Linked DNA regions of Ovis aries. The protein of the gene in region 2 purifies or fractionates together with the protein of the main gene of each other region. This does not show direct contact. Links are inferred from orthologs where the notes say so. Each region holds a gene or a part of one and is shown on either strand. Other genes may lie near its edges.

Region 1 (5,728 bases), about 40 Mb from region 2:
CTGCAGGGGACACAGATTTGATCCCTGGTCAAGGAACTAAGGTCCTGCATGCCACACTGCATGCCCCCCCCAAAAAAATAAAGAAGGAAAGAAAAGAAAAATAGTCACTTTATAAAGCATTTAGACTTGTTTGTAAAGTGCTCATTTCTCTGTAACTTCCCACATTCCTGTGGTCTAGACTGTAGCATGCATAGGAGAAGGGGTCCTGCCAAACTGCCAGTTCCAACTGTTTGTTTCTTTCAGAGAGACGGACTCTAGATAACAGGCGCAGGGTTTGGCATGCGCCTGAATTTTGAAGTGAGAGCTGGTAAACTGAGTGGAGGAAAATGGAAACAGTACTTGAGAAAGTTGCTCTAAGCAGCTGTATAAAGCTTTTTGGATAAAACTCTCATTGTCCACTTCCATAAATTCTAAGAAATAAACTCTGGAGCCAGTTTATTGTTGTCAGAAATGTCAAGCTAAGACTAAAATAAGGCCTCGAAATAATATAGACTTGGTTTAGCATGCAGTGCTATTTTAAATGTGTGATTGCAGTCTTATAAAAGACTCTCTACTAATGTTTGCTTACTTGTAGTCGGCAGAACCAACTGAAAGACCAGCAGCAGCAGGTGGTGTCGTTGTGCCCTGATGACACAGAGTGTCTGACAGTCCCACGGTACAAGCGCGACCTAGTTCAGAAGCTGAAGATTCTGCGGCAGGAACTTTCCCAGCAACAGCCTCAGGCTGGCCATTGCCGCATTGAGGTTTCCAGGGAAGAGATTTTTGAGGTAAACGTACAAGTCTGATTTTAATATAGAGAAAGTTTAAATTCCAGTGATGAACTTGTTTTCCAAGTATATATTGGGACTCAGTCTCTTTAAGGGCTTCCCTGGTAGCTCAGACGGGAAAGAATCCGCCTGTAATGTGGGAGGACCTGGGTTTGATCCCTTCGTAGGGAAGATCCCCTAGAGAAGGGAATGGTTACCTACTCCAATATTCTTGCTTGGAGAATTCCATGGACAGAGGAGCCTGGCAGGCTACAGTCCATGGCGTCGCAGAGTCAGACACGACTGAGCGACTTCCACTTTAATCTCTTTAAAATGGGAGAATTTTCATTAATTTCTCTTCTTACTTGTGGGGAGTAAAGGCAGTAGTATTGAAGAGATTTCATATATAAGATAAACATTTGAATGGGATGAAGTGTGAGAGGTTCTGATGGGTAAAGCTTGGTCCCTGCATTGCAGATACTGATTTGTTCATGAATTTTAAAAGACCACAGATATTATCCATCCCTTATTTTTTAATTCTTCCGAAAGGTAAGGGACTGTTTGATAAAAAAAATCGTTTTGTCTAAATACTGTTGGACTGCTTCCTTAATTTATTGAAAATCTTCCTTTCTGGTATGTCCTTTTCTCTCTCGATTTTATAGCTCTAATAGCAGCTTCAGTGTTCTTACATAATAAGTGGCAAGAGGTCCAAGGCAGGACTTGCCCACTTATTAGAGGGTTCCAGGGCAAGAGATGTTTGGGGACTTCATAATCCTTCTCCCAAAGGATGAACTTTTTTCTCTCAGAACAGTTCTGACCTTGTTTGTACTCAGCCCTTCGTAATGTTAAAATAATGTAAAGTTGTCAGTGTAGTGAGGAGTACATTTAACAATTACTTAACGTTCTTTGAAACTTTCTGCTTCTTACCTTTACTTTCTGGTGGAATCTGTCACTTGGATGAGGTCGACTAACTTTAAAAATGTGGTACTTCTGTCAGATTGTGTTTTTTTATGTGGTATCATTGCTATAGTTAATAGGACTTAAATATGGAGTCTTTAGTAGGTTTTTAATATGTCTATCAAAGGATAATGTCTATCAAAGGAATTGATTTCAGTAGTATTAAACTATATCTGTTTTAAGTTCCATGAGGTTCCAAACACTTGGAGTTGATCCGTTGATTTGATTGTTGAACACATTCCACCTTATTTAAATAAACATATGTTTCGTAGGTGGAATGGGAAGGAGAGTTTAAACAGGAGTTAAAAACACGTAGTAATAATAGTATATTAAACATTTTTTTCAGGAATCATATCGACAGGTCATGAAAATGAGACCGAAAGATCTCTGGAAGCGATTAATGATAAAATTTCGTGGAGAAGAAGGCCTTGACTATGGAGGGGTTGCCAGGTAAAGACATACTTGGCAGTAAATGACTAATAGATCCTTATATTTGCAAATTAGATACTCTCTGTGGTGTAACCTTCTCATTGGTATTTAGTTTCTAACATAATGTTACCTAATGTCTGCAGTATGGAGGATACCCTAGTACATACATTCATAATGAAGTTATTTTGTAGCACTGCTGCCAGTGGAGTATTTGTGAACTCCCTAACGGATCATATCTTCCAGTGAGACTTTCTCTGAAAACTAGCTGCAACCCTACGTGGACTATTGGTAGGGCCTATAGGCCTGATATTTTCTCCATTTCTCTCCTTCAGTACATGCTCTTCCCTCTGCTTTACATTGTCAGGGACAGTCTTGAGATTTTAATGATGTGTATTCTAAACTGAATACTGTTTCCCTTTGCTTCCATTGCCATGCTTTTTAACCTTGTTAAAGGAATGTTTGTGTCTGAAAGTATGTGTATATATCATAAATTCTCCATAGAATATTTCAGTACATTCAGTATGTTTCTGCTGCATTCATACATCAAGTATTTTGTTTCCAGGTGTGAGAATTCACTATATATAAATGCAGCAGAAACATTATAGCTTCTTTGTTAAAACATTTTAAGGGCCATCATGATAATTCTGTCTCCCCTAATCTAAATCCAGCCTAAATGAAATTTGTGTTTCCACCAGGTCCCATAATTGCCAGTTGGCATTACTTGTTTTTACCTGTAAACTTTTTCTGTGACCCTTTTACTTGCAAATGGATAGTTTCCTTAGTTTGGATTTTTAGAATTGATCACTGTGCATGCATGCTCAGTTGTGTCCAACTCTTTGCAATCCCATGGCCTGGAGCCCACCAGGCTCCTCTGTCCATGGGGATTTCCCAGGCAAGAATACTGGAGTGGGTTGCCATTTCCTTCTCCAGAGGATCCTCCCAACCCAGGGACTGAACCTGAGTCTCCTGCTTGGCAGGCAGATTGTTTACCACTGAACCACCAGGGAAGCCTTTAAAAAACACATATATGCATAAAAATAATACAAGACATATTAGGTGTGAAAGTTGCTTATTGGAGATCTCACTTTTTAATTTATAGACTTTTCAAGTATTAAACATAATGATTTGATTTAGACTCCATCAAATGATAGAACTTTGAAATGTTTTCCTTTAACTATTTTAATAGTGTTTCACTGCATTTCCTAAAATTATATTATTCCCCTGTTTAATCCATAATATCAGAGTATACCACTTACATGCCTTTCCTAGCTGAGGAATGACAGGAGTTGAGACTCGGACGTCACCTTAAGTTCTAGACTAGTGATTGTATTTCTGTCTCACCAAGATAAGAAGTGGTCTTTCATACTTTGAAAAATGTAAATGATTTAATCAGTTTAAGGTGATAGAACTGGTTATTATAGGTTTTAAAAACACTGATGTATGCTTAAACCAAGAAGTGGGATGAAACATCCCCAGGAAGTGCTGGCCTGCCCTTTCATTCCCACTTAGACCACAGGCCTTGGTAGTTTCTCACCATGTACATGTTTATCATGGTTATTCTAGGGTTTACACAAAACAGACAGTGGAAATGGATAGTGAAATTTTCTTACTAAAACCATACCAACAATAAGACATGAATTAGTTATGTGTGAATGTTATATGTTGTATAAACTAGTATAAAACTGCCACGATTGGAGAGGATCAGGGTGCTATGGATGGGACCACATGGAGGTTTCGAAATAAAACCATATTCTTCCCTTCATTTTATATTTATCATGGATCACAAATTTCTTTAGCAATTGAAAGTAACAGACCACTGGGCTGCAGCATCTGATAGTACTTCTGGATATTATTATATTCGCTGATGTTAAAATGTCGTAAAATTACCTAAAATTGAGTGAGACATGAGTTCAGTATAATAAAACAAGGGTTTTTCATTTACTTTGGGGCATGGTAGATGATGATTCTTTTAAATTTTTAATTGGAGGATAATTGCTTTACCATGTTGGTTGGTTTCTGCCATACAGCAACAGAAATCAGCCATAGGTATACTATCTCCTCTTGAACCTCCCTCCCATCCCCCACTTTGTCCCACCCCTCTAGGTTGTCACAGGGCATGGGGTTGAGCTCCATGGGTTAGTATACTTTTCTAAAGTGATCTTACATAACTAGTTACTCGTGCTTTATTTTATTAAAAACTTCTTTGCTAACATTAATTAATAGCATATCTTAGTAAAAGTATATTTATTAACAAAAAATTCCTGTGGCATATCTTGTTTTTTAGGGAGTGGTTATATCTCTTGTCACATGAAATGCTGAATCCTTATTATGGCCTCTTCCAGTATTCAAGAGATGATATCTATACATTGCAGATCAATCCTGATTCTGCAGTTAATCCGGTATGATTGATGGTTATAATGATATGAACTGACTTATGACCTACAATGTTTTTTCATCTTTAAATGTCAGTGTAGTCTATGACATAGGTTTGTTGGCTTTGTTGAAGTCACATCCTTGGACTTGGCAAGTCCTCTTTTAAGTTTTTCTTAGATAAGTGATGATGAGTGGATGCATCAGTTGGGCCCAGGGAGGTTTACCGAATCACTGTTTACAGTAGCCCCAACTGGAAGTAACATTGCTGTCCACAAGAGGGAGTGATTAAATTATGACATGAAGCAGCATGACGTGGTTAAGAGCTTAGACTCTGGAATTAGACATGAGAACATATCCTGGTCCTGTTACTAACTAGCTTTGTGACTTTCATTGACTTAAGCCTCAGTGATAAAATATATAATTTGAACCTGAGAGAAGGGTTGTGACTGTTAAATGAGACCCTGAACAGTGCTATACGTTATTAACCCTATTACATATTATTAAGTACTCAGCAAGAGTTAGCAGCTGTTACTAATTTGTTGGTTTTATAGTATTTCTATTATCTTTCCATACAAGGGTATATTATAGAGCCCCTAAAATGATGTTGCGGGATAATGGATAATGATACGTAAAGATAGTATTTGTAATATATTAGGTGAAAAAAAGATAATGAAATAGAATGATGCAACTTTGGTAAACATACATATGCGTGAGAACATTGAAAAGATCCACACTGTAGTATTTACAGTGGTTATCTCTGAGTGTTAAGACTATGAGCTTTTTTTCATTGTCTGTATTTTCTAAATATTTTGTAGTGAACAGGTACTGCTTTTTTAAAAGAAAAGTGCTATTTGTAAGATAAAAGGGAGGCTTAAAGGTGAGCTTAGGGATTGTTAAACAGAGAAGTAAAAGAAGTTTAAAATACAAATATCCAACAGTAATAAAACAATATATCATGGAAGACCAAATCTGTCTAAACATGGTAGGCATGGTAAGTTCCTTGCTAGGTATTCTTCCTAAAGGGAAGATTTTTAGGTGAAGATTCTGCTTGACCAGCTCATTCACCGTAGTAATGATAGCTCACGTTTGTAGAGCATTTACCATATGCCAGGTCCAGTGCCTTGGGCTTCATCACCTCATGTTACTACCCACAGAGACCCTTTTTAGATACTATTATTACCCTCATTTTTCCAGATAATAGAAAATTATTTCTACAGAGGTTA
Region 2 (5,728 bases):
TGCCTGGAATGCTGGGATCCCTAGGCCCAGGTTTCACCAGGATGATCTGTGTGCCCGGTGACAGGCCTGACCCATCTGGACTTCCTTGCCTTTACCAGAAATCTTGCTTGGAAGGCTTGTCACTGAAATCCTTCTGGGCTCTGATATTCTTTGGGTAAGCCTAGGGGTCTGAGTCTGTTGGCACTTGGAATTCTAGTTCTGGGTGCAGTCAGAAACTCTGGGCCAGAAGAGCCTTCCCAGCCTTCCCTCTCCTTTCCTTCCGGCAGCCTGTCCTTGCCTCTTTCTCCTGAATGAAAGACTACTCTGAAGCCCCAGCACCCCTCCTTACAGGCCACCTGCTGTTCTTCTGTTGAAATTACAGCCTTGGAAGTTTTCGTTTGCCTCTCAGCTCATTTCTGACATTCCTTTCCGACCACAATGGAGTTGCCTGGCCCAGCCTGTGCTCAGGGTCCCCCCTGGCTCTTGCAGCTGTGGGCTGACCTCATCTCAGCCCGAGCCAGGGCAGGGGGATGGGCCCACCCCCCGCTCCAGGACCGTGGGCCCAGCATCCAAGGACCCTCAGCCTCCAGCTCCTTGTCCCCCTCCTGACTTGGGTGCTCAGTAACAAATGTCTACAGGGGGCTGGCTGCAACTCTGGGGCACTCTCCAGGGCTTTCCTGGGTAACTCTGGGTGTGGTTGAGGAGGGGTGGGCACCCATGGCCCAGTGAGGACCCTGAAACCACAGGAAGGGTGGTGAGGCTGGAGGCGATTTCTCCAGGGTGTCGTGGAGTGGGGGGTGGGAGATGGTCTGGCCCTTGGAGCAAAATGAAGTTGCCAGCTCTGTCGGGAGGCAGAGGAGTGATGGAGCAGAAAATATGCCCGGGATTCGGAGTCCCGGGCTGTGATGCCGGCACCCCCTCCCCCCGCCCTCTGGAACAGCGAGAGGGGCCCGGGGTTCCCTGGCTGCCGTCTGGAGCTGCGCTCCCACCACGCACTTAGCAGCTTGTTATCCTGTCTGCTGCCGCCCCCGCCCTTCCCCCTGGGCCGCCAGGCCACCCGCCCAAAATAGAAAAGGAAAGGAAGTTATTTCCATCGTCAGTGGCAGCCCGGAAAAGCTCCCCTCCAGTGAGTGGGCGGGCGGGATTCCTGGAGCTGGAGACCAAATCAAAGCCGGCCCCGCGAGAGCGGCCCCCACCGCCCCCGGCCCTGGCCTGCCTTCGCTGTGTGTCATTTCCCTGATTCAGCAGAACACGTGTTCTGCGGTTGCCACGCTGCAGGCCGCCGGGGAGCTGTGGGGAGCTCCTGGCCCGGCCCCAGGCTGCCGTCGGGCCCGGACGGCGGGGCAGGAGGCCGGGGGGGTCAGGGCGGACACGTGCCCAAGGCCCCCTTCCTAGCCCCCCTCCCGCTGTGGCCTCTGCCTGAGGCCAGGAGAGCAGCCCCTGCCAGTCCCATCCTTAGTGTGACCTTCCAGCTGCCGGTCAAGGCAGCTTCGTGAGGGGCTCCCACACACCAGAGCAGGGTGGCAGTGGTTTGCAGGTGAGGGGAAAGCCCCACAGGGGATAGGTCTCCCCTGGGACCACCCACCAGGTCTGGAGCCTGGGTCTGCTTGCCCTCTAGAGACCCTGGTGTCTCCGTGTCTCCTGATTCCAGCAAACCAACACTGGGGAAGGCTGGGCTGTCAGCCACTCTAGGTGTCTCTTCCCTGGGAACACACCTATCACTCAGCACCCAGGAGCTTGTGTTATCCTGGATGCTAGAGACAGAAGGCTGAAGGGCTGTGACCCCTGCATCTGTGTCCACATCCACAGCACCCAACATGAGCTCTGCCAACGCAGGCCAGAGACCTTTTGTTTGTTTGGCCAAGACACGCATGGCGTCTCACCTCCCTGACTTGGGATTGAATCTGCACCCCGTGCGTTGGAAGGTGAAGTCATGGCGCCTGGACTGCCAGGGAAGCCCCTAGGCCCAGAGACTTTGCAGACACCGGGTGGCTGGAAGCAGTGAGTGTCTGGCGCAGTAGGCGTCCAGGCCCAGAGGTGAGGGCTCAGCCAAGGCCTGGCTGAAAGGGGAGCTAGGGGGCTGGGCCTCCGTGCTGGAGGCGGCTGGAAGCTTGGGCACGTGGGTGCCATTCTGAGCAGGATCCCAGGGTGGTGGGCCAGGACACCTGTGTGTGGGCCTGACTGTTCCCTCCTCATCCTCACCTGTCGCCCTCCAGCATCGACGTGCTGGGCTCCGTGCCCCCTTCCAGCCAGAGGCGCTACCGCAACTGGAACCCCCCACTGTTGGGCAACCTCCCCGAAGACTTTCTCCGCATCCTGCCCCAGCAGCTGGACAGCATACAGGTAATGGGGGTGCCCCCGCCCCCAGCCTGTGCAGCGTCTCTCTGTTCGCGCCAGTCACTGACCCTCCCTGACGTTTAAGCCCAGGCTAAGCTGCCCTGGGGTGGTACGGAAAGAAGGCTGAGCCAAAAGCCTCCTTCCCCATCGGGGCCTGTAAGGTTTCCCCTTCCGCTTAGGAAGGGGACCGCCCTGAGGATACTCTCTGGCAAATGGCATCACCCTAGGGTGGCAGGAGTTGGGCAGGGGCAGGGTGGGGGGTCACTCAGTGACAGAAAGGCAGAGCACCTTCCTTCCTTCCTTCCTTCCCCGGGGAGAGGGCCAGGGTGCTTCTCGCCAGAGGCTGGCCCTTGCAAGCAGTCTCCTCTGAGATGGCCAGGACAAGGAAAGTATGAGTATGGGGACTCTGAGCCATTTGAAGATCACTCTTCAGGACTATTCAGGTTTTGACGAAGGGCATGCTGGTGGGAAGGTCCAAGGTGTCAAGCTGGGGAGGTGGAGAGTAGTTCCTAAGCCCCTGATGCTTCCTCAGCACAGAGGGCTCTGGTCTGTTACGTTGAGTCTTGGCTAACAGCTCGCTCTGGGTGGAGGAGGTCCTGGCCTCAGGGCGTGGCTGCAGCATCCCGGGAAGGACGCTTGTACCCCCGGTGCGCATGGGTGTTGGTGCGGCGTGCGCCCTTGTGAGTAGGGGGTCCGTGTGCTTGCTCCCTGCTCAGGCCACCTCCAGGGGCTCCAAGCTCGCAAGCACGGAGGGAAGCCTGCCGCCCGTGGCGGGGCCTGAGCCCCGGGACCAGGAGAGCCGCTGGAAGCAGTACCTGGAGGACGAGAGGATCGCGCTCTTCCTGCAGAACGAGGAGTTCATGAAGGAGCTGCAGCGCAACCGGGACTTCCTGCTCGCCCTGGAGAGAGGTGGTGCCCTGGGCCAGGGCAGCCGGGCCGGGGCGAGGGGTGTCGGCCGTAGCCTGGGGCTCCGAGCCGGAGGTCTGAGTTGTCCAGGAGAAAGTATGAAAGCGTGAGTCGCTCAGTCATGTCGCTCTTTGCGACCGCATGGACTGTAGCCCACCAGGCTCCTCTGTCCATGGGATTCTCCAGGCAAGAGTACTGGAGTTGCCCTGCCCTCCTCCAGGAGATCTTCCCTACCCAGGGATGGAACCCACGTCTCTCATGTCTCCTGCACTGGCAGGCAGGTTCTTTACGCCTAGCGCTGCCTGGGAAGCAGAGTTCTGCTCACAGGGACCTGAGTCATCGGGACTTAGCGGGAGTGCGGGGCGCCCTCTGGGCTCTGCCCCTCCTTGCGCCCCCGCACTTCTGCTCTGTGCCAGGCGCTGGCGGCTGCCCTGTGCGACGGGAGCTCCAGCAGTAGAGGGACTGTGTGGCTGGGTGCCAGGGTGCGTTCCTCCCTGAGCCGAGGACGTTAGAGCAGGGCCTCTGGAGGGTTTGGGGGTGTTGGGGTTGTTTCTGGGCCAAGGATCCTACTCCTCCTAGCCTGGCTGCCTTCCCCCTTTAGAGTGGTAAGGTTTGGGGTGGCGCACAGTGAGGGGCCTGTGGGAGAGAGGTGTTGTGTGTACACGTGTGTGTGACTGGCAGTGTGTTTTGGTCAGGAACATGGTGTGCAGGGGAAAGTCTGGCCTGAGACAGAGGAGCCGAAGGCTGGTCCCAGCTCTGCAGTAAAGATGCTGGTGGGAGTCTCCAGGCCTTTCCTTTTAGATGAAGGGCTGGACACTCCAGTTTCTCAGGGGCCTGTTAATTTTGACATTCTCACCTTCCAGGCAGTGCTTTCTGTGTCTTTGAGAGTTCTGGTTCTTTGAGAGCCCATAGGTGTCGCGTGTGCACGTGTGTGTGTGTGTGTGTGTGTGTGTGTGTGTGTGTGTGTGTTTCTCAGGGTTTGGCCTCCAACCACCTCTCAGCTCAGGCGGCCCTGGGTGTGAGCTAGCTTCCCTGACCAGACTGTGGGCCTTTTCCAGATCGACTGAAATACGAGTCCCAGAAATCATCCAGCAGCGTGGCCGTGGGAAATGACTTTGACTTCCCCTCTCCTGTCCCAGGTAACCTTGCCTGAGAGAGAGAGAGAGAGAGAGAGAGAGAGAGAGAGGGGCCTGGAGGGTGTGGGGGGCTCACAGCCCAGGGGTGTCTGCATATTTGGAGTTTGGAGAGAGGGTGGGGAACAGGCTGCAGAGGATGGTTTTGCCCTATCAGCATATGCCCGAGAGGGGTGAGACGGGCCCTCCCCTCGGCAGCCCTGGTTCCTGCCAACCCAGCGGCTGATGAAGCCCTCACCTGGGGCAGGCCTGCAGACTCGCTCCACTCCTTAGAGGCACTTGGAGCCTGGGCAAGAAGGGGACACAGCACACCACATAATGTCCCATAGGGTGCCGGGGCTGGCAAGGGACTCAGAGACCCAGGCACTGCCCCAGGGGAGCTTATGGTCTTGTGGGGAGTGCAGGAGATGCCTCCAAGAAACAGGGAGCCCGAACCAGCAAAGCTGAGGACGCTTGTTAATTATAGCAAGCACATGCTGGGGGACAGGGAGGGTCCATCTGGGGAAGGTTCATTCATTCATTCGGTAGCTGGGGACTGTCTCCCCCAGGCCAGGCCCAGCCTTAGTATTGGAAGAAGAGAATTTTGAAAGTTTTATATACAAGACGGGGAGAAGCAGGAATTGCCCAAGCGGCTGAAGGAGGGCCCGGGGTGGACGGCAGGCTACTAGGCTGCACGGATGGGGGTGGAGCTGGAGCTGGGGACCCCTCGAGAGCCCCGGTTCCACTCTCGACATCTAGACTGTGTGTGTGTGTGTACAGTGGCCCTGGTCAGTACCCGCCACGCACACACGGGCCTCCTGCCTCAGAGGAAGAATGTGCAGCTTTTGCCCCAAACAGATCTTGCATTGAGTGGTGGAGTGGGGGAGGGGGGCAGAAGGAGGGGGACTCAGTTGATCCCAGCCTGGAGAGAGAAAATCCCATGGAACTGATTCATAAGCAACAGGCTGGGAGCTTAGGCCCCACCAGATGTGCAGCGGGGGGTTTAACGGCAGCCACATGTCCTTGATCCCGAATTAACCATAGACACCGGGATGGCTGAGATGGATCAGAATGACTCACAGGGACTTAGTGGACAAGGTGACTCGGGATTAGCGTGGGGACCTCAGGAAGGCAGTGAAGGACCCAGGTGGGTGCTGAGTGATCCGGGAGACTCTGGCCGGCCAGCTGGGTTCTGACTTAGGGACTCACCCCACTCTCATTCCTGCTTATGGTCTAACGAGTCAGAAACCCGTGTCTGGGGGAGTCATGGAGAGGTGGACCCTGGCCAGGGGAGAAGGGCATCCCCATGGCGGGGGCCTGCTGTGCACCCTGAGCCTCCGTCCACTGCCGTGTTGATTCTCACACTGCGTCAGGACGCAGGCCAGCCAGCCACA

What was found.
Region 1: the proteins of CUEDC1 (region 2) and SMURF2 purify together in Homo sapiens (co-immunoprecipitation; 3 studies listed by BioGRID and IntAct, with this or other methods). This does not show direct contact. The link is inferred for Ovis aries from reciprocal best matches to the Homo sapiens genes CUEDC1 and SMURF2.

Annotation. Positions count from the first base shown.
Region 1 is NC_056064.1:48,467,357-48,473,084, reverse strand, and holds part of SMURF2 (E3 ubiquitin-protein ligase SMURF2), read left to right. Parts: intron 1-574; coding exon 575-767; intron 768-2,049; coding exon 2,050-2,153; intron 2,154-4,416; coding exon 4,417-4,531; intron 4,532-5,728. UniProt on the Homo sapiens protein: E3 ubiquitin-protein ligase which accepts ubiquitin from an E2 ubiquitin-conjugating enzyme in the form of a thioester and then directly transfers the ubiquitin to targeted substrates.
Region 2 is NC_056064.1:8,368,868-8,374,595, reverse strand, and holds part of CUEDC1 (CUE domain-containing protein 1), read left to right. Parts: intron 1-2,195; coding exon 2,196-2,322; intron 2,323-3,032; coding exon 3,033-3,225; intron 3,226-4,280; coding exon 4,281-4,361; intron 4,362-5,728.